Schizosaccharomyces pombe: one gene and its partners. The protein of the gene in region 1 interacts with the protein of each later gene in a biochemical or structural test. Each region holds a gene or a part of one and is shown in the gene's direction. Other genes may lie near its edges.

Region 1 (4,074 bases):
CATTTCAAGTTCTACTGGATCGCTGTATTTTGCATGGAATTTTGGTGCCGAAGGAGGTATCGCAACTCATCATTGGATTTTGAGGGCCTGTCTTGTACATGGGATTCAACAGATTTGGTCTGCAATCCTCTGGTCATGGGGAGATCTATTATCGAAGAAAGATTTGACTCAAAATGTGGGGCCTGGCATTTTTGCAGGGGGACTTATCGCCTCTTTCATTTGCTTCGGGCTTTCCTACGTAACATTCGCAGGTTTACCTGCTTTTTATCGCCAAGCTCCTTCTATCATTCCAGCGTTTTATCGTTCATTAGGAAAACGAAATATTGTAATTTGGTTTTTTATCTCTCAAATTTTAATCAATTACTGGCTTGCTGTCCCTTATGGCCAGGCTTGGAGGTTTTTCTGGAATACTAGCAACACTCCTTTGTGGAGCATAATCATTCTTTTACTCATTTTCTTCATCGTGGTTTGGGCCGTTCTCTTATCAGTTATAAAGATTTTGTCTCTTAATAACGTTTGGTTTCCAGTGATATTTGGATTGGGCCTCATTTGTCCACGCTGGTGCTTAGAGTTTTGGTCATCCTCGGGTCTCGGAATTAATTTACCATGGGCTGGTAAGGCTTCTGCCTTGCTGACGAAGTCAGTATGGCTTTTGCTAGCTCTATGGGACGGGATACAGGGAGTCGGTGTCGGTGTAATGTTACTGCAAACCCTGGCGAGAGATCATGTTGCTTTCACGTTGATGCTAGCGCAAGTTATAAGTTGTATTACAATTATGATCGCAAAACCTTCTCTGCCTGTAAGTGATCGAGTATTCCCAAATCTTGGTGCATGGAATCCTAGCGAAGGACCGGGACCTTGTGCATCACCTTGCTTTTATATTGCACTAATATGTCAATTTGTAGCTGTTGGAGGATTGCTCTATCACTATCGTAAAAGTCAGCTTGCTCTTTAGTGTTTGATCTACGATAATGAGACGGTGTTTGGGTTGTTTTTACTGAATTTTTCTTTTATTTTATGACATCTTAATTTTTATGTTAATGATTATTCTTATACTTTTATCTATCTTTGATTAAAACTAATATTCATTCTTTTGATCACTAATTATTTTTATAGTATACGATTCAACCCAACTATAATACATTGTATCAAGAGAAATTTTTAATTAGATGTAATTTAATAGCCATTTGATAAAAAAAAATTACCTTTTTTTTTGCTAGTGTTAAATTATTGATCATAACAATGTCGAATGAATACTAATAAAATAGGGACACGCGAGTTGCAAATACTTGAAATACCTTTGAAGATTTGTCTGTGAATTTTGATAAGATTTTTATGACCATCTCTTTTATATTCGATATCGTGAACTTTCATTTTCTTTTGTTTTTTGCTTTTCAAGTTAAATAACGCGGAAATTATATTTCCTTATATGTTTATAAGAGCTTTTAAAGGATTTGCTATATCGCTTACAGTACTACAACCGGTTGCTCAATGTTATCCGTTTCCGCGGTCTTCTTCCGTGCGCATTCTGCCGTGAAGTGCTAACGCTGTGTGTGGCTTTATCAAAAAAGTGGCTCAAATATAGCAATTTCATACATATTTAAACACCCATTATACTTAAATGTATATTTTAAAATATATAAGAGATTTTCACTGTATAACTGTGTATCTTATCTATATGTAATCAACGGCTTCATACCACCTCAGCCAGCCGTGTTATAACTTACCGTTTACCAACTACATTTTTTGTAACGAACCAAAAAACCCTCAAAAGACAAGACCATGGAAGAAGAAATCGCAGCGTTGGTTATTGATAATGGCTCTGGTATGTGCAAAGCCGGTTTCGCTGGAGATGATGCCCCTAGAGCTGTATTCCCCTCGATTGTCGGTAGACCCCGTCACCATGGTATTATGGTAGGTATGGGACAAAAGGATTCCTACGTTGGTGATGAAGCTCAAAGCAAGCGTGGTATTTTGACCTTGAAGTACCCCATTGAGCACGGTATTGTCAACAACTGGGATGATATGGAAAAGATTTGGCATCACACTTTCTACAACGAGCTTCGTGTTGCTCCTGAGGAGCACCCTTGCTTGTTGACTGAGGCTCCTTTGAACCCCAAATCCAACCGTGAGAAGATGACTCAAATTATTTTCGAAACCTTTAATGCACCTGCCTTTTATGTTGCTATTCAAGCTGTTTTGTCTTTGTATGCCTCTGGTCGTACCACTGGTATCGTCTTGGACTCTGGTGATGGTGTTACCCACACTGTTCCCATTTATGAGGGTTATGCTCTTCCTCATGCTATCATGCGTCTTGATCTCGCCGGTCGTGACTTGACTGACTACCTTATGAAGATTCTCATGGAGCGTGGTTATACTTTCTCTACTACCGCCGAACGTGAAATTGTTCGTGACATCAAGGAGAAACTTTGCTACGTCGCTTTGGACTTTGAGCAAGAACTTCAAACTGCTGCTCAATCTTCCTCCCTTGAGAAATCTTATGAGCTTCCTGATGGTCAAGTTATCACTATCGGAAACGAGCGTTTCCGTGCCCCTGAAGCTCTTTTCCAACCCTCAGCTTTGGGTCTTGAAAACGCCGGTATTCATGAGGCTACTTACAACTCTATCATGAAATGTGATGTTGATATTCGTAAAGATTTGTACGGTAACGTTGTTATGTCTGGTGGTACCACTATGTATCCCGGTATTGCCGATCGTATGCAAAAGGAGATTCAAGCCCTTGCTCCTAGCTCCATGAAGGTCAAGATTGTTGCTCCTCCTGAGCGTAAATACTCTGTCTGGATTGGTGGATCCATTCTTGCTTCTCTTTCTACTTTCCAACAGATGTGGATCTCCAAGCAAGAGTATGATGAGAGCGGACCTGGTATCGTTTACCGTAAGTGCTTCTAAGCTCCTCTTACTTTTTGTAACGTTTTTTACATACTTTTGAATAACATCGATTCTTCTGATATATATAAATTTCAATCTTTTTTTACCTATTTAACCACCTTTTTCCGCTCTTAACATCTCATGAGGAACTTTGGGTATCAATTATTGGAGTGTTTTATATACTTTCTGATTACTATCGTTTTCTTGCTCTGTTTTCTTTTTTTCATTATAGACGAATGCAGAGCTAGCCTTTTACATATTGAAGTTACAGAAATATTTCCAGTAGATACCTATGATGTTACTTCATTCGCTTATAACTTCCCGTTTTCTTTAACATGTTTCTTCTCGAGTCCGGCCGATTATTTTTGTCGATATTTTCGTTATGTTTATCGCTGTGATTATCGATTAAAGAACTGTAGTAAATGAATTTTACTTACTCCCGTTAATTTTTACGAATTTTATTTTGTACAAGGTGGTAACTGCGAGATAGTTAGAAGCGGAAGTGGTGCAATGTACTTCATCAGCCATTTCTTTTCGTCCTGTAGAGTTGTATCATCTTCAGTACTGATTTAATTGGTACCTGAACTTGTATAACTTTGAAGCCAAATGGTTGAATGTGTTTTACATTAGTATTAGCAAAAGTTTATTAGGTCAAAAAAAGATTTAATACATACATGGTATATGATCATTGTTGGATAGTATAGTTGAGGTAAAATTCTTATAAATTGTAAGACATTGGTATGATTAGTGTTCTTCAAATATAAAAAGAGAGGAAGTAGTGAATTATGAAGCTGTAGGAGATGGAGCCCGATTAGCCAGTTGTATAGTTGAGCGATTAATATATAGTGACAAAGTAATTTGGACTGACGACGCCTCTCTGTATAAACAAATCCAATGATATTACATTCCTATGACTTTATTTAGAATTGTTTCGTCAACATATATTATTACAAGAGATTATTATTTTTTTTTGTAGTATTATGATAATATTAAAACCATTGTTCAAAGAATAAGAGAAAAATGTTAACCATATTAAATAAAATAAGTTGCTGCTGAAACATGGAAAGAAAAGATCCATCGAAATTTGCAGAACATGTATGAAAAAGGATGGCCAAGACCCGGTGCCTGAACTCGTGACAGAGTATAGACGCATTAAAACGAACGTTAAATGATGTTGATGAAAAA
Region 2 (9,028 bases), on another chromosome or scaffold:
TGGGAAGAAGCTTCAACATTCTGACTACTCAAGAGAGAGTTATCACTGTCAAGGAATTTGAGGTTTTGTATAGGAGATTGTTTGATAGGTGAACAATAATCCCTAGGATCATCACTTACAATTCGTCTGATTGAACGCGCCCTCTCGAGAGATCTCGTTTCATGTGATTTTTGAACATGGAGGTCATATATCCTAGTGCAATAGTTTACAGGAAACATTCCTGAATTCCCAAGTTTTTCTGCCTTACTATTTACCTTCTCGCCCATGTACCAATCCGGTCCAAGTTGTTCGCTCACCTGAATGACATCCCCTGTGTGCAAATCGAGCTCTTTTTCATTCCTTCCCGTAAATGAATAAATTGCTTTGACGAAAACTGTTTCCTTTTTCGATTTTCTATTGGTCAGCGTATTTAAAAAAATTTTTTTACTCTTTAAACTTACCTTTTCGGAGTAGAAAACGGTGTTGGTGATATTTTTTCAGTATTAGTGGTCTTAGTAAATAACTTACTAAGTGATGGATCCATGGGTGATGCAAGAAATTCATTTTCAACGCTTCTTTCGCTACTTTGGATCTTTTTCTGAGGCGTCAATGAGTTTTGAGAGTTGAATATTGTATTTAAAATACCAGTCGACTCTTTAAAGAAGTTTAGCTCATAAACAATTAGTTCTGTTAATTGTTGGTACTGATCAGCCTCAACGTCTTTTAATGCGATCATCCGATTCTTTACTTGCTCGGTGGATTCTTCGAACTTGTACAGCGCCAGGCGAATATCTTCTTCTAAACGCGAATCTTCCTTCTTTTCTTTAAAAGACTTTTGTAGGAGAGATTCGTATGCTTGTCTTCGGCTTTCCAATTTTTTTCTTGCAGAATGAAAATCCTTGGCTTGTACTAGATAACGTTTTAAAAAATCGAGATAACATACTCTCGCTTTGTATGCTAAAGACGTTTGATGTTCTCCAATCTTTAGATTGGCTTTTCCTAATTGCGACAAGGTGATCCCTATGAGTTAATAGAGGCAGAAGGCTTTTCTTACCTACCATAGCTTGAGTCTTGTGGTAACTCTTTTGAATGATTTATCATCACTTTCCCTAGATTTTCACAAGCAAGACATTTTTCTTTATCCTCACCATCGACCTTTTTTACTAATTATTTTGTTAACAGTAAAATAATTGTTTTGGCGTCAATGTATCTCTACTTACAAATTGAATCAATCCATATTGTCGTTGCTTGAAATAGTTTAGATAGTCCTACATTATGTTAAGAAACTTTGTCTGCAGCATATTTACTCACCTTCTTCTCGAATCGCTATTTCTTGCTCAAGTTCAAGAAAACTATCAGGCAAGTGTGCTCTTTGGTCTCCCAATGGCTAATAAGGTCAGTAATACAATTCCTTTCTTTTCGTTCGTTGTTTTGAGTATTTTGAACAAACACTACATCGGCTCAGTTTCACTCGCCATGGAAAGGTATACTCACTTTTTCGTTTCTAAAAAAAAGGGGTCAATAATCTTCATAATCTGCGTAACCTTTCTCCTTCTTAATATTTCCTTACGTCCAAGAAAAAAATCTAGACACCATTTTGATGGTTCATCGACCATACGCATGCGTTGTGCTCAAAAGTCTTTACAATTAAGCATAAACGATACTTATAGAAAAGATAATTTACTTCTTTGCTTACTAAATCACTTCAGCCGTGTGTGTTAAAGGATCAATATCTCTACCGAGAAGGTTCTTATATAAGCGATGTTTGTTTGTTTGTTTACCCAAAATTTTGGAAGCGGAGGGGATGCGTTTATTATGATGTTGAACGTAATGAAATACATATTTTTTTTTCTTAAGTGTGTTAAAAATAATTGATTTGAGGGAAGCTGTTGTTACGTCGAAGGTTTATCATTTTTTTGTTTGTAATTGAGACGTTCTAAAAGTATTGAGTAACTTGATTCCTTATAAATTTTATTAACTAAGTTACCTTATTTGGTTTTTCATAATTAGTTTGGCCTAAAAATATGTAAATGCATTTATAATTCTTCTTTTCTCTTTTGGGTTTATGCTGCAGACTATACATTTTCCAAAACATCTTCTCATCTCGAAGAAACATGTCTTTTATAGACTTTTTACTTTTGTAATTCTTTTTTAATCGAAATCATAGCCCAATTAATTAATATTTAGTATTGATGCTCCATTTTGAGAGTAATCATCTTCTGAGTTTCTTTGAAGAGAAAACAGAAACATATACTATCTAAATCGAATTTGTCTTTGAGTCAAAGCGTTAGATTATTAGTTGCTTTTTTTATGAAAATATCCCTGTTTCCAAACGGTTTTAGTAAATCATTCTCGTACAAGAATATATAACGAGAGCACGAAATTATCTATCAAAACGAAAGAATTATGATATATATAATATTCTGTTTTTTTTATCTGATGTTTTACTGTTAGAAATCCATTGTGTTGCTCAAACCGTTGATTTTGAATGGTATTATTTACATGTTTGTACCATCTTACCTCCTCTTTTACTAGTAATTCTAAGCCGCACTAGTTTGCCTTATTTAGCATACTGTTTTCTGATAAAAATCGTAGCTAGCTCGGTATTAGTTATTAATATCAGCAATGCAGTTCGATAATATGCCAGTAAAACTGCACTACGCTATCATACATTACGTCGAGTGTCACTATATGTCACATGTTCTACTTGTCATCGTACCATAGATGATACGATATTGAAATTGATCTTAATGATGTTCGATAAAGATTCTTGCTATTAGAATACTATAAAAGATAGCTACTACTGAACTGAGGAAAGAGGTTCAGCAATAAGCTACATTTGTGATAGATAACAATATACCCTTTATATTATAATACCTATACTTGATTGTTACTTTTATAACCTATGTATTACAATATTATAGGTCGCAAGGAAAGCTCACCGCATTACTACGTATCGTTAAAATAATTACAAAATTGCATAGTAAACAGACAACTGTTTTTAAATACGATGAAGTAGTTGAGTTTCTATTGCAATTTTTTATAATCTTATGTATGTTTACTACGATTGGTAATAAATATTCTTACGCTCAACTTAACATTATTTAATATTATAATAACTTATATACTTGATAATTGAAATAACAATTATAGTAATTCTGAAGCAAAAAACTAACTCACTAGCCGTATTGAAATGTGAAATGTTAATTGTACTTTTCAACAAAGCCAACCTTGAAAGTTAAAAACATAATAAATAGTGATAGTTAACATATCATAACATAGCGTGATTTCTTAATGGTAAAAGTTTGATTCTTATTTGAGGTTTTATGAACTTTAGTGAAACCACTATGCGCTTTTATCAAATTGCATAATTCGCTTTTCATATTACTTTGTCTCAGCGAAGTCATCTCCATATTAACATCAGCAGAGAACGAGTATTTTCCATAAGTAAAGAAGAAAGTTTTGAAATAACGTAAACGCGTTAGTAAACTTTTTTTCTATTAGTTTTAGCATTTGCATATTGTTTTGCGACATTTTTTGAGCAAACATCTATTTTTGTGTGTAAACAAAACGCTGTGTTTAGTTTAAATTAGGCGTTCGGGGAGTCTTGTAATTTCTACCGGTCATGACATCGGGGATTTATTACAAGGGACTGTAAGTTTATTAGAATCGTCTTTAAAGGATCCTGCTAATGTTGTTGTTGCGAAATGTAGTCAATGCTGGATTCCAGATGAGCAAAGCCAATGGATCCCTGGAAGCATAAAGGATTGTCGAGTTGAAGGTGAGAAAGCTTTCTTAACGGTACAAGATGAAAACGAAAACGTACGAAAATTATTATTTTCTTTGGTATCCCTTTTGGGTCAATTGAGATTAATTAGCTAATGTGATCTTGTTAGGAAACTGTTATTACAGTGAAGCCAGACGATTTAAATTATGAAGGAAGAAACGGCCTCCCGTTTCTTCGATCCATTAACTCGGATGCTGATGACCTTACTGATCTTTCATACCTAAATGAGCCGTCAGTGTTGGATGCTTTGTCAACAAGGTACAACCAACTTCAAATTTATACGTATTCTGGCATTGTCCTTATCGCAGTAAATCCTTTTCAGAGACTGCCAAATTTGTACACTCACGAAATAGTACGTGCTTATTCGGAGAAATCTCGGGATGAGCTAGATCCCCATCTCTATGCTATTGCTGAAGATAGCTACAAGTGCATGAATCAAGAGCATAAAAATCAAACTATTATTATATCTGGTGAGTCAGGAGCAGGAAAAACTGTTTCCGCAAGATACATAATGCGGTATTTTGCTTCTGTGCAAGCACTTATTCAATCCACCGATTCCAATTTTCATGAAGCTCCACAATTAACTGCTGTCGAGAATGAGATACTTGCTACAAATCCGATTATGGAGGCTTTTGGTAATTCTAAAACTTCTAGAAATGACAATTCTTCTCGCTTTGGTAAATATATTCAAATTTTGTTCGACGGAAATGCTACAATCATTGGTGCTAAAATTCAAACTTATCTTTTAGAAAGATCAAGATTAGTATTTCAGCCTAATCAAGAAAGAAATTATCATATTTTCTATCAGATTTTAGCTGGTTCATCCTCGGAACAACTTGAAAAGTGGAAACTTGTTGAGAATTCTCAAGAATTTAATTATTTAAAACAGGGAAATTGTTCTACAATTGAGGGCGTCAATGATAAAGAGGAATTTAAAGCTACAGTTGATGCATTAAAAACAGTTGGCATTGATAATGATACATGTGAATGCATATTTAGCTTATTAGCTGCATTGCTGCATATCGGTAACATAGAGGTTAAGCATTCAAGGAATGATGCATACATTGATTCAAAAAACGAAAATCTGATAAACGCTACTTCATTGTTGGGCGTGGATCCTTCTTCATTGGTGAAATGGTTAACGAAGCGTAAAATAAAGATGGCCTCTGAAGGTATTTTGAAACCATTGAACGAATTTCAAGCTGTAGTAGCTAGAGACTCAGTAGCGAAATTCCTTTACGCTTCACTCTTCGACTGGCTGGTAGCTACTATTAATAAAGCCTTGATGTACTCAGCTGATAAATCGAACCAGACGGCTAAAAGTTTTATTGGTGTTCTAGATATTTATGGGTTCGAGCACTTTAAAAAAAATTCATTTGAACAGTTTTGCATCAATTATGCGAACGAAAAACTTCAACAGGAATTTTATCGCCATGTTTTCAAACTGGAACAGGAGGAGTATGCTGCTGAGGGACTTAACTGGTCCTATATTGATTATCAAGACAATCAGCAATGTATTAGCATGATTGAGAGTCGTTTAGGGATTCTTTCCCTTTTAGACGAAGAATGCCGAATGCCCACGAACAGCGATGAAAATTGGGTTAGTAAGTTGAACGATGCATTCTCCAAGCCAGAATTCAAAAATAGTTATCAGAAATCAAGGTTTGGTAACAAGGAGTTTACAATTAAGCATTATGCTCTTGACGTTGTTTACTGTGCCGAAGGATTTATTGATAAAAACCGTGATACAATATCCGATGAGTTGTTGGAGCTTTTTACAAATTCAGACGTTCCCTTTGTCAAGGATCTGGTTTTATTCCGTCTTGAACAAACTGCACCCCCAGCCGATACCAAAAAAATAAAAACCAAGCCAAAAAGTAATACTCTTGGTTCAATGTTTAAAAGCTCTTTGGTTAGTCTAATGAGTACCATCAACGAAACTAATGCTCATTATATTCGTTGTATCAAGCCAAATGAAGAGAAAGAAGCCTGGAAATTTGATAACCAAATGGTGGTTTCTCAGTTACGAGCATGCGGTGTTTTAGAAACTATAAAAATATCTTGTGCTGGTTTTCCCTCCCGTTGGACTTTTGATGAGTTTGTTTCTCGTTATTACATGTTGGTTCCCTCTGCCGTAAGAACTACGGAGTCTTTGACCTTTAGCAAGGCAATTTTAGAGAAACATGCTGATCCGACTAAATATCAAATTGGCAAAACTAAAATATTTTTTCGTTCAGGTGTGACGCCCCTTTTAGAGAGTGCGAGAGACAAAGCTTTGAAACATGCAGCACATCTTTTGTATGAAGCGTTTGCTGTTAATTACTATAGGACTCGTTTTCTTCTGTCTCGGAAGAGAGTCAGGAGCTTTCAAGCCGTTGCTCATGGTTTCTTATCTCGTCGCCATACGGAGTACGAATTACTTTCTTCCAATATTATTAAACTTCAGTCACTTTGGAGAACTGCATTAAAGAGAAAAGAATTCATACAAACGAAAAATTCTATACTTAAAGTGCAAAGTATAATTAGAGGCTTTTTATTAAGACAGACTTTAGAGGAAAAGACAAAGCATGATGCAACATTAATTATTCAAAGTCTTTGGTTAACATTTAAAGCCCATAAGCACTACAAAGAACTACAATATTATGCAGTTCGTATCCAGTCTCTTTGGAGGATGAAACTTGCAAAGCGACAATTGACAGAATTAAAAATTGAATCCACTAAAGCGAGTCACCTTAAGCAAGTATCTTACAGGCTTGAAAGCAGATTGTTTGAGATTTCAAAACAGTTGGACAACTCGGAGCAGGAAAATAACAAGTTCAGGGAAAGAATCGCTGAATTGGAGTCTCATCTGTCCAACTATGCTGAAGCAAAGTTAGCACAAGAAAGAGAACTTGAGCAAACTAGGGTACTTATATCGGATCAATCTCAAGATGGGGAATTAAAGGAGTTACTTGAAGAGAAAGAAAACGCTTTGATTATGATGGAAGAGGAGATGAGGCAAGTCAACGATGCGAATACCGAACTTTTAAGAGTAAATGCAACTTTGAAGTCGCAGCTTAAAAATTACGATATGATTATTGTTGAGCAAACCTCTCAGTTGAAAGAGAAAAACAGGATAATTGCTAGTCTGACAAAAGCCACTAAAATACTGAATTCGGCCTCTAGTATCGAACAGTCGCGCAATTCGGAAGAGAAATCACGTCGTGATAGTTCATTGATGGAAATGCGTACTCAAAAAGAGATGCTTGTGCTATTAATGAACGATGGCTTGAAGCACGATCTTGACAAACTCACAGAATATGCAGGTAGAACATTTACAACTCTTAAAACTCTATTACTAAAGGACAACGATGTTGAGGCTCAGAAACTTGATCATTTGTTTTTAGCAAAACTACTTTTTATAATAATATCACAAATGTGGAAATCAAATCTGTGTCAGGAAAGTGTTGCCTTGGTTGAGCGTTACTGTGTCCACACTTTAGAATACGTATTTCAAAAGACATCATCTGCTAATGAGAGACCTGACATCGGATTTTGGGTTGCAAATACACATGCGCTCTTGGCTTTTGTTTATACTAAGCAGCAGGCGTTTAAACATTCCTCGGCTTTCACTCTTTTATCCACCGAATCTCATGAATCAGTGCAAACCATTTTTGAGATGATTGAATCACATCTGTCAAAAATCTTTTTCGAATGGGTTAGGCAAGTCAATAATTTTTTAAAGCCATTGATTGTTCAGGCAATGATTATTACTGGTACAAATACGGATGCTGGAGATGAGAATCGAAAACTACGGATTAAATTTTTTGAGAAACCAAAATACAAAATCACCGATGTAATACATGTACTAAATAAGGTGCATGATTCTTGTCAGGCCTATAAAGTTAATTATGAAATATATAATGCATTGATTAGAAGCATATATCGATTCATTAATGTGGAGGCATTCAATTCACTTTTTATTGATGAACGTGGATCTTGGAAACGTGGTACCAATATTTCATACAATTATCATGTTCTTAAGGATTGGTGTCTAGAAAGTGGTGTTCCGGAAGCTTATTTGCAGCTCGAAGAGCTTTTACAAACCTCCAAGATACTACAATTTGTGAAAGATGATCCAAATTATGTGGCCAGGGTCCGCGACTTTTATGCTCTTAATTTTCTGCAAATAAAAACACTCTTACATCGTTATGACTATGCTGACTACGAGGCTCATGTACCGAAAAAAACTATGTCTGAATTGTCCAAAAATATTGTTGCTGAAGGCATCAATCAAAGGGAACAACTTACTTACGAAGTGTTGGATTATAGACTACAAGATAGTTTTGAGGAATCTCCATCTCTTGAAAAAATAAAGATACCAGATGATTGTAATGTTACCTATTTGCGTCGTATCATCGACCTTGCTAGTGCAGAAGAAAGTGTTGAGCAAGCTTTGATCACTGTAGGCAACGTAGCCGACAATGATGTACAGAACTCGAGCGACGAAGAAAATCAAGTACCAAATGGTATTAAAGTTTAATATCTAGTTATTTTTCAAGGTGCTCTGCCTACTTATTTATTCCCTAATTAGGGGTTTTACTTTCAAAATTTGGAGCTGGGCCTTAGTTTCCGTGGAAGTTTTAATCAAAACATCCTGATAATGACAATCTTTTACGAGTTTTATTTACTGCTAAATATAAATATCTATGAGTATTGTAGTCTATTCTACTTCCCCACTTTGTATAGTTACTTGGTAACTTAATTTATTCTTAAATATTTATTTCGCTTGCGGAGTACGCATTGGTTTCAGTCAAAAAATACCTACATCGAAATACTTTCCATAACTAGTTTGTCACCAAAGACTGAAAAGAAAGTATATTTATTAGATCATTTTTAATATAAAGGCTGCAAACTACTTAATAAAACACGTAAATTGAAGTACGAAGTCTCATGCAGCGTTAGCAAGAAGCTCTACTCTATAAGCGAGAATAGCTTAACAAATCCGAATGTGTTAAGAACAGACAAAAAGCAAAGCAATAAAAGCATTTTCAAAATCTATTTGACATAATAAAAATAAACACGATTACGGAAGTCCCTTAAGTGTTATAATGGTCTATAAAAAACTTGTATTGTAAATTTCTACAATAGGAAGCTTGGGTACCACAATGGATAGGACTATTAAACCGAAAGGCATATCAAAAATTTTATAACCAGATACATACGTATAACGTATCAACATTAAAACTTTAATAGGAAAATATCACGTAGGATGAATTATCC
Region 3 (6,319 bases), 1.6 Mb from region 1:
CATTTTTTATACAGCTGATGAGAGTCAAATGGATATTATTGATGAATGCATTGGGCTGTTTCGCGCCAATTGTTTCTTCCGCAATTTTGAGATTAAGGGACCAGCAGACCGTACTTTAATTTATGGAACATTATTTATCAGTGAGTGCTTGGGAAGAGTTAATGGACTCAATTATCGTGATGCTGAACGTCAACTTAATAGTTTAGCGTTGGAGAATTTTTCTATTCCTGGCTCTGCTGGCTTTCCCTTGAATGCATTATATGCTCCTCCCCTTTCTCCTCAAGATGCTGGTAAGATTCACCCAAACTGTGGCATTAGACATATAGATGTTTGTGCCGCTAATAGCTTTCTTGCTTTTTTTTTCATTTGCTAACTATTAAAAAAAGAAATAATGCGTACATATCTTACTCAATTTCGTCAGGAACTTGCTTATCGTCTTTTGTCCCATGTATATGCAACTGAAAAGGATCATCCCAGCAAGTGGTGGACTTGCTTCAGCAAGAGACGTTTTATGAACAAAGCTTTGTGAGTCTATTAATTAATAATTTGGCTCATACTGTATTTCAAAGCCTTTATGTTTTTCCGTTTCCTTTATTTCAAATGCGGCTTATAAAGTTTTTGAAGCGTACGAATGGCTTATTTAATGTAGGCAGTTTTATACGTAGATAGTAGATGCAAAAATAATCGCTTTACTTTCATGTACAAGTTATCAATTAGCTTTGTTAATTATGCTAAAGGAATATTTGAATGATTAAAGTCGTAATATTCAATGTTGGTTCAAAAATTTTTATTGAAATCGTAATTTTGATTTTTGCAAACGGCAGACCCAATAATGAGGATGGTATATCCATTCAAGCATACTTCGTTTGTCCCCCATATAAGTCGTGTCGACCGAATTGTGCTTTAAAACCTCAAATCCCATACTATCCATCACGTAAAACAGCTGCTCGAGAGTCAATTCAACGAAAGGTTGTTGCTGGCTATCACTGTTAGAATTAGAAGTACCTTCTGACTCAAAATGATACAATAAAGGCCCGAGATTTATCCAATAACCTCCATCTACCAAACAGTTTTTAATTGTATCCAAATAGTCCAGTATGTTTTTTGTAGTGTCTATAAAGAAGCAGGTAGCTACTACTTGAAACGAATCACGACTTTCTTCGGTGCCGTATACCTCCAGGAAATCCCCGGCTGCCATTGAAAAGTTTTGTGAATTCCGCAGATATTGAGAGGGAACTGCATCAGGAATATTTAATGAACGCACCTGGTCATCACGCATGACATGGTTCGAAAATGAATGAATATAAGGATACACAAGAAACTGATTTTCCTGCTTTACGCAATTCAGTATGAAATGCGACGTTAAAAGCATAAAATATGAGAACTCATTTCCTTGGCATGCAAAGCCTATTAAATGTTAGAAGCTATGTCCAAAAATCCAAATTTAGAAAGAAGTTAGAAAACATGTAATCAGATAAATAATAAATCATGCTATTTTTGATTGATAGTATCAAGTGTACCTACCTTCCACAGCTATATCAAAGGCCAATCTTCCTAAGCCGGAACCTGGAACAAGTACACGAATTTTAGATCTGTCTATAGAATCAGATGGGAAAAGTGAATTTAGTTCCTCGATGAAAGGAGCATATGTAGTACGGCGTTCCTCAACACATTCGGTCGACCAATCTCTCGCAATTTGCTTGAGAGTGCTTGAAACTTTTTGCATCATATCAACATTGACATGAAATAACTCATTTTGATCGAAATCACTGCAGAACACAGGAATGGCTGCGTTAGCGATTGCTTCAGCAAGCACGCTGTTCTGCTCGATACATTGATCAATCCTTGAAAGATGCTTTAAAAAATTGTTGTCAGAGTCCTGTAAGAGTAAGTCCTTGTGTTCAAAAGACAACCTGCTCATCGATTTTCTCTTCTGTTGTGTTATTGTATGAGCATATTGCCTGTACAAAAAGAACGCGCTTAAAACTTCTTTCAAAACTTTTACTTCTTCCTCATCATATTCCATAGTTTTTTTTGATGTTTCTGAGCTCTATCTAGACTTTAATATTTTTATCATCTAAGTCGCAATTTTGGCGTTGTGGAGAAGTTAAACCTCTAACTTGTTGCTTCATTGAAGTTGGAAGTGTTGAAGAAACCAATAAGTTAAGAATATTATGGTTAATATAATTATGTTTTATGTATTTCATTAGCTTTTCAAGTTATGTTTATATCTACTGTGTTTGATTGCAATATTGAATCATCTCTGCTGAAAATCCCTGCAACGCGGTGCCTCTATGAAAATAGTGTTTGCCTTTTGCAAAAATCCCATAGGTTTTATTTGGATAGTTGTCAGACAATATTTTACAACAGCAGCCGCAAAGGAAATTCACCATGCTTCAACAATACCGGAACAGCTAATCTTCTGAAGCATCGTTATAGTAGTATTGTGAGTTTTGTAGATTATAAGAAAATAATATAAGAGAATCTTGGTGCACGCAGTAATATCATACAATATTTATATTGCAGCTTATAAACGAGACTGGAAATACACGTGAAAAGGTAGTCAGGTTAAAAGTTTAACCCTGTGACATCTGGCTAATCTTTTATCCTATTGCGCAGTTAAAAGCGGGAATTACTTCTTTTTCTTATATTGTATCAAAAATTGTTGGCTTCAGTGACCTAAACCCTTGAACAAAAGAAAAAAAACACGAATTTTCACGGCCGGAAAAACTTTCTGCAACGTTTTACAAAGGATCTACTATCATAGTAAGTAGAAATTTTGGCTTCTTGACATATAGTACTAAGTAATTTTCAAGTCGATGCATCAGTTGACTTCAATTGAAAGAGCTTGCTAGTTTGTGATGTTTATGGCATTTGAATTCGGTAATATCGCTAATTTGATATGGACTTACGTTTAGCTTTTTATTCTGTAAAAAAAATTAAAATTCAATGTAGTTGATATCCCAGCTATATATTCAATCTAAAGCTACAACGCAAGACATCGTCAAGTAGTAAATTACTTTTTACAATTGCAAATTAACTTTTAACAGATTGGCTAAGCAAACGTGTATTAACTCATTTAGCGAGCGGATCAAAGTTTTGCTCTACGCTTCTGTAAGTATGATGTATGTGCATCAACAACACGACGTTAATCCTTGTCACGTAGCAACTGCAAGCCACCCAAAGCACACATCGTGTGGTTTCGTTTACTATACATTTTTTGGTCAAATTTTACTTTTAAAGAAATGTTAGCTCTTAAACTTCAAAAGAAGTATCCGGAGCTCACTAATGAGGAAATTCTAACCTTAACCGACCAATTTAACAAACTTGATGTGGATGGAAAGGGATATTTAGATCAACCTACCACTATTAAAGCCTTTGAAGATTCAAAGAAGGGTTCTTACGATGAGGTCCGTGAAGCAATTCGTGAAGTTAACGTTGATTCGTCTGGACGTGTTGAACCCGAAGACTTTGTAGGAGTAAGTAATGTTTTCCGTAATTTTCACGATATGTGTCTCTATATCGCTTCATCAATTGGATTACTAATGCATATAGATTTTCAATGTTTTAAAAAAAGGTGTAGAAGGTACTGAAGTAAAAAAGGGTCGGATTACTATCAAAGGATCTTCCTCAAGTGTTTCTCATACCATTAATGAGGAAGAGCGAAGAGAATTTATCAAGCATATTAATTCCGTCTTAGCTGGAGACCCTGATGTTGGTTCCCGAGTCCCCATCAACACTGAAACCTTTGAGTTTTTCGATCAATGCAAAGATGGTTTAATCCTCTCAAAGTTAATTAATGACAGCGTTCCCGACACCATTGATGAGCGTGTACTCAATAAACAGAGAAATAACAAGCCTCTTGATAATTTCAAATGTATTGAAAATAACAATGTTGTTATTAACTCCGCAAAAGCTATGGGTGGTATCTCCATTACCAACATTGGTGCCGGCGATATTTTAGAAGGTCGTGAACATTTGATTCTTGGTCTTGTTTGGCAAATCATTCGCCGCGGTCTCCTTGGAAAGATTGATATTACTTTACATCCCGAGCTTTACCGCCTTCTCGAAGAGGATGAAACCCTTGACCAATTTCTCCGTCTCCCTCCTGAGAAAATTCTTCTCCGCTGGTTCAATTATCACTTAAAGGCTGCCAATTGGCCGCGTACTGTCTCTAACTTCTCAAAAGATGTTTCAGATGGCGAGAATTATACTGTGCTGCTCAACCAATTAGCTCCCGAACTCTGTTCACGTGCTCCTCTTCAAACTACAGATGTTTTGCAGCGTGCTGAACAGGTTTTACAGAATGCTGAAAAATTGGATTGCCGCAAATATCTTACACCTACCGCTATGGTTGCAGGGAACCCTAAGCTTAACCTTGCCTTTGTTGCTCATCTCTTTAATACTCATCCAGGTTTGGAGCCTTTAAATGAAGAGGAAAAGCCGGAGATTGAACCATTTGATGCAGAAGGTGAGCGTGAGGCACGTGTTTTTACCTTGTGGTTGAACTCTCTTGATGTTACTCCATCCATTCATGACTTCTTCAATAATTTACGAGATGGCTTGATTTTGTTGCAAGCTTACGATAAAATCACACCTAATACCGTTAACTGGAAAAAGGTGAACAAGGCACCTGCATCTGGAGATGAAATGATGCGTTTCAAAGCTGTTGAAAACTGTAATTATGCAGTGGACCTTGGAAAAAATCAAGGTTTTTCTTTGGTAGGAATACAAGGTGCTGATATTACTGACGGTTCTCGTACACTCACCTTAGCATTGGTTTGGCAAATGATGCGTATGAACATTACCAAAACTCTACATAGTCTTAGCCGTGGAGGTAAAACTCTTTCAGATAGTGACATGGTTGCGTGGGCCAATTCTATGGCTGCTAAAGGTGGTAAAGGTTCTCAAATTCGTTCATTCCGTGATCCTTCTATTTCCACTGGTGTGTTCGTCTTAGACGTACTTCATGGAATTAAGAGCGAATATGTTGATTACAATCTTGTTACCGATGGTTCTACTGAAGAACTTGCTATTCAAAATGGTATGTATATATATTTGATATATTTTTAATTTTCATTACTAACACATCGTTTAGCTCGTCTTGCTATTTCTATCGCCAGAAAGTTGGGTGCCGTAATCTTTATTTTGCCAGAAGATATTGTGGCCGTTCGTCCTCGGTTGGTCCTTCATTTTATTGGCAGTTTAATGGCCGTATAATTTGTTTCGACTTAACTATAGCTTTTAACGAAACGATTTAACACATGTGTTTTTCCCAATTTAATTACTTATATTGCGAACAACTTCGGAAGTGAGTACGTCGCTTTTGACTCGCTATGTTATTAGTGGTATGTCATATTATAGATAACTTTGTGTTGTTTTATGATACATCTTAACCCGTTTTTGTCCCTTTAGTATTGGGTAATCCTTATCCTAATTAATGTTTGAGGAATTCTGAAGCTGCACGACGAAACGTAGTCATTTTTTCTCAAACTGTAGAAAATAGTTAGCTTTTTAATTTCATAATGAAGGGAAGATCATTTGTATATGTAACTAATGGTAAGTCTCTGTAGGCCCAAATAGTACGGACTGCATATGCAAATCAGCTTTCTAAATAAAGCATTCGTTGGGAGAACGTTGGTCTACCAAGCCCTAATTTTCAAACACAATAAAAAGAAATAAAAATGTATATATGTCGATTAACATTTTTTACTTTAATAAAATATTCGGAATCTTATAACAATATTATTTATTATCAGATTACTTAACATAATACACATTACGTCCACCGTATATTGTCCAACTATGTCAGCAATACTACACTACGCTATGCTACACTACGTTGCGTATCACTATATGTCATATGTTGGAATACTAGCTAAGATCCGTTTATTGATAATCACGGGTAACTATCCTTCTATATACATAGATACCCGTTGATAACAACTATTTAGAAATATTATAAATAGCGTTACAACTGAACCTCGTTCCTCAGTTCAGTTATGAGCTATATTAGTGATAGGTAACATTATAACCCAGTTAATACAATACCTATACTCAGTTGCTACTTATACAACCTGTGTATTGTAATATAATAGACCACAAGGAAAACTCACCGCAGTTCTACGTATCCTTAAATCAGATACCAAACTGCGTAGCTTACAAACTACTTATAACCACCATTCAAAACAGGTTAAATCGTTATTGCCGATTGGACTTTAAAATACATATTGCTACCTTTACTGCTATCTAAGTTTAAATTCGAAGATGATTAAGCCAAAGAAGTTGTCGTCGTTGATGAAACAGGCAGTTGAGGAAA

Evidence for each region.
Region 2: the proteins of act1 (region 1) and myo52 form a complex in vitro, tested with the Schizosaccharomyces pombe proteins (one study listed by BioGRID).
Region 3: the proteins of act1 (region 1) and fim1 form a complex in vitro, tested with the Schizosaccharomyces pombe proteins (one study listed by BioGRID).

The regions. Positions count from the first base shown.
Region 1 is NC_003423.3:1,474,985-1,479,058, reverse strand, and holds act1 (actin Act1), read left to right. Parts: upstream 1-1,725; 5' UTR 1,726-1,782; coding exon 1,783-2,910; 3' UTR 2,911-3,574; downstream 3,575-4,074. Other genes in the region: spore wall alpha-1,3-glucan synthase Mok12, read left to right, coding at 1-955. UniProt on the Schizosaccharomyces pombe protein: Actins are highly conserved proteins that are involved in various types of cell motility and are ubiquitously expressed in all eukaryotic cells.
Region 2 is NC_003421.2:2,224,308-2,233,335, reverse strand, and holds myo52 (myosin type V), read left to right. Parts: upstream 1-3,395; 5' UTR 3,396-3,604; coding exon 3,605-3,633; exon of another isoform or gene 3,634-3,692; coding exon 3,693-3,801; exon of another isoform or gene 3,802-3,810; intron 3,811-3,875; coding exon 3,876-8,288; 3' UTR 8,289-8,454; downstream 8,455-9,028. Other genes in the region: BAR adaptor protein Mug137, read right to left, coding at 1-393, 441-999, 1,038-1,142, 1,200-1,247, 1,291-1,366, 1,474-1,483, 1,550-1,575. UniProt on the Schizosaccharomyces pombe protein: Involved in cell wall deposition where it has a role in the localization of mok1.
Region 3 is NC_003423.3:3,105,668-3,111,986, reverse strand, and holds fim1 (fimbrin), read left to right. Parts: upstream 1-3,178; 5' UTR 3,179-3,245; coding exon 3,246-3,479; intron 3,480-3,555; coding exon 3,556-5,044; intron 5,045-5,098; coding exon 5,099-5,220; 3' UTR 5,221-5,745; downstream 5,746-6,319. Other genes in the region: arc3 (ARP2/3 actin-organizing complex subunit Arc21), read left to right, coding at 15-290, 387-529; SPOM_SPBC1778.07 (carnosine N-methyltransferase), read right to left, coding at 788-1,407, 1,525-2,026; guanyl-nucleotide exchange factor Lam2, read left to right, coding at 6,268-6,319. UniProt on the Schizosaccharomyces pombe protein: Binds to actin, and functionally associates with actin structures involved in the development and maintenance of cell polarity. Plays a role in cytokinesis. Plays important roles in mating and in spore formation.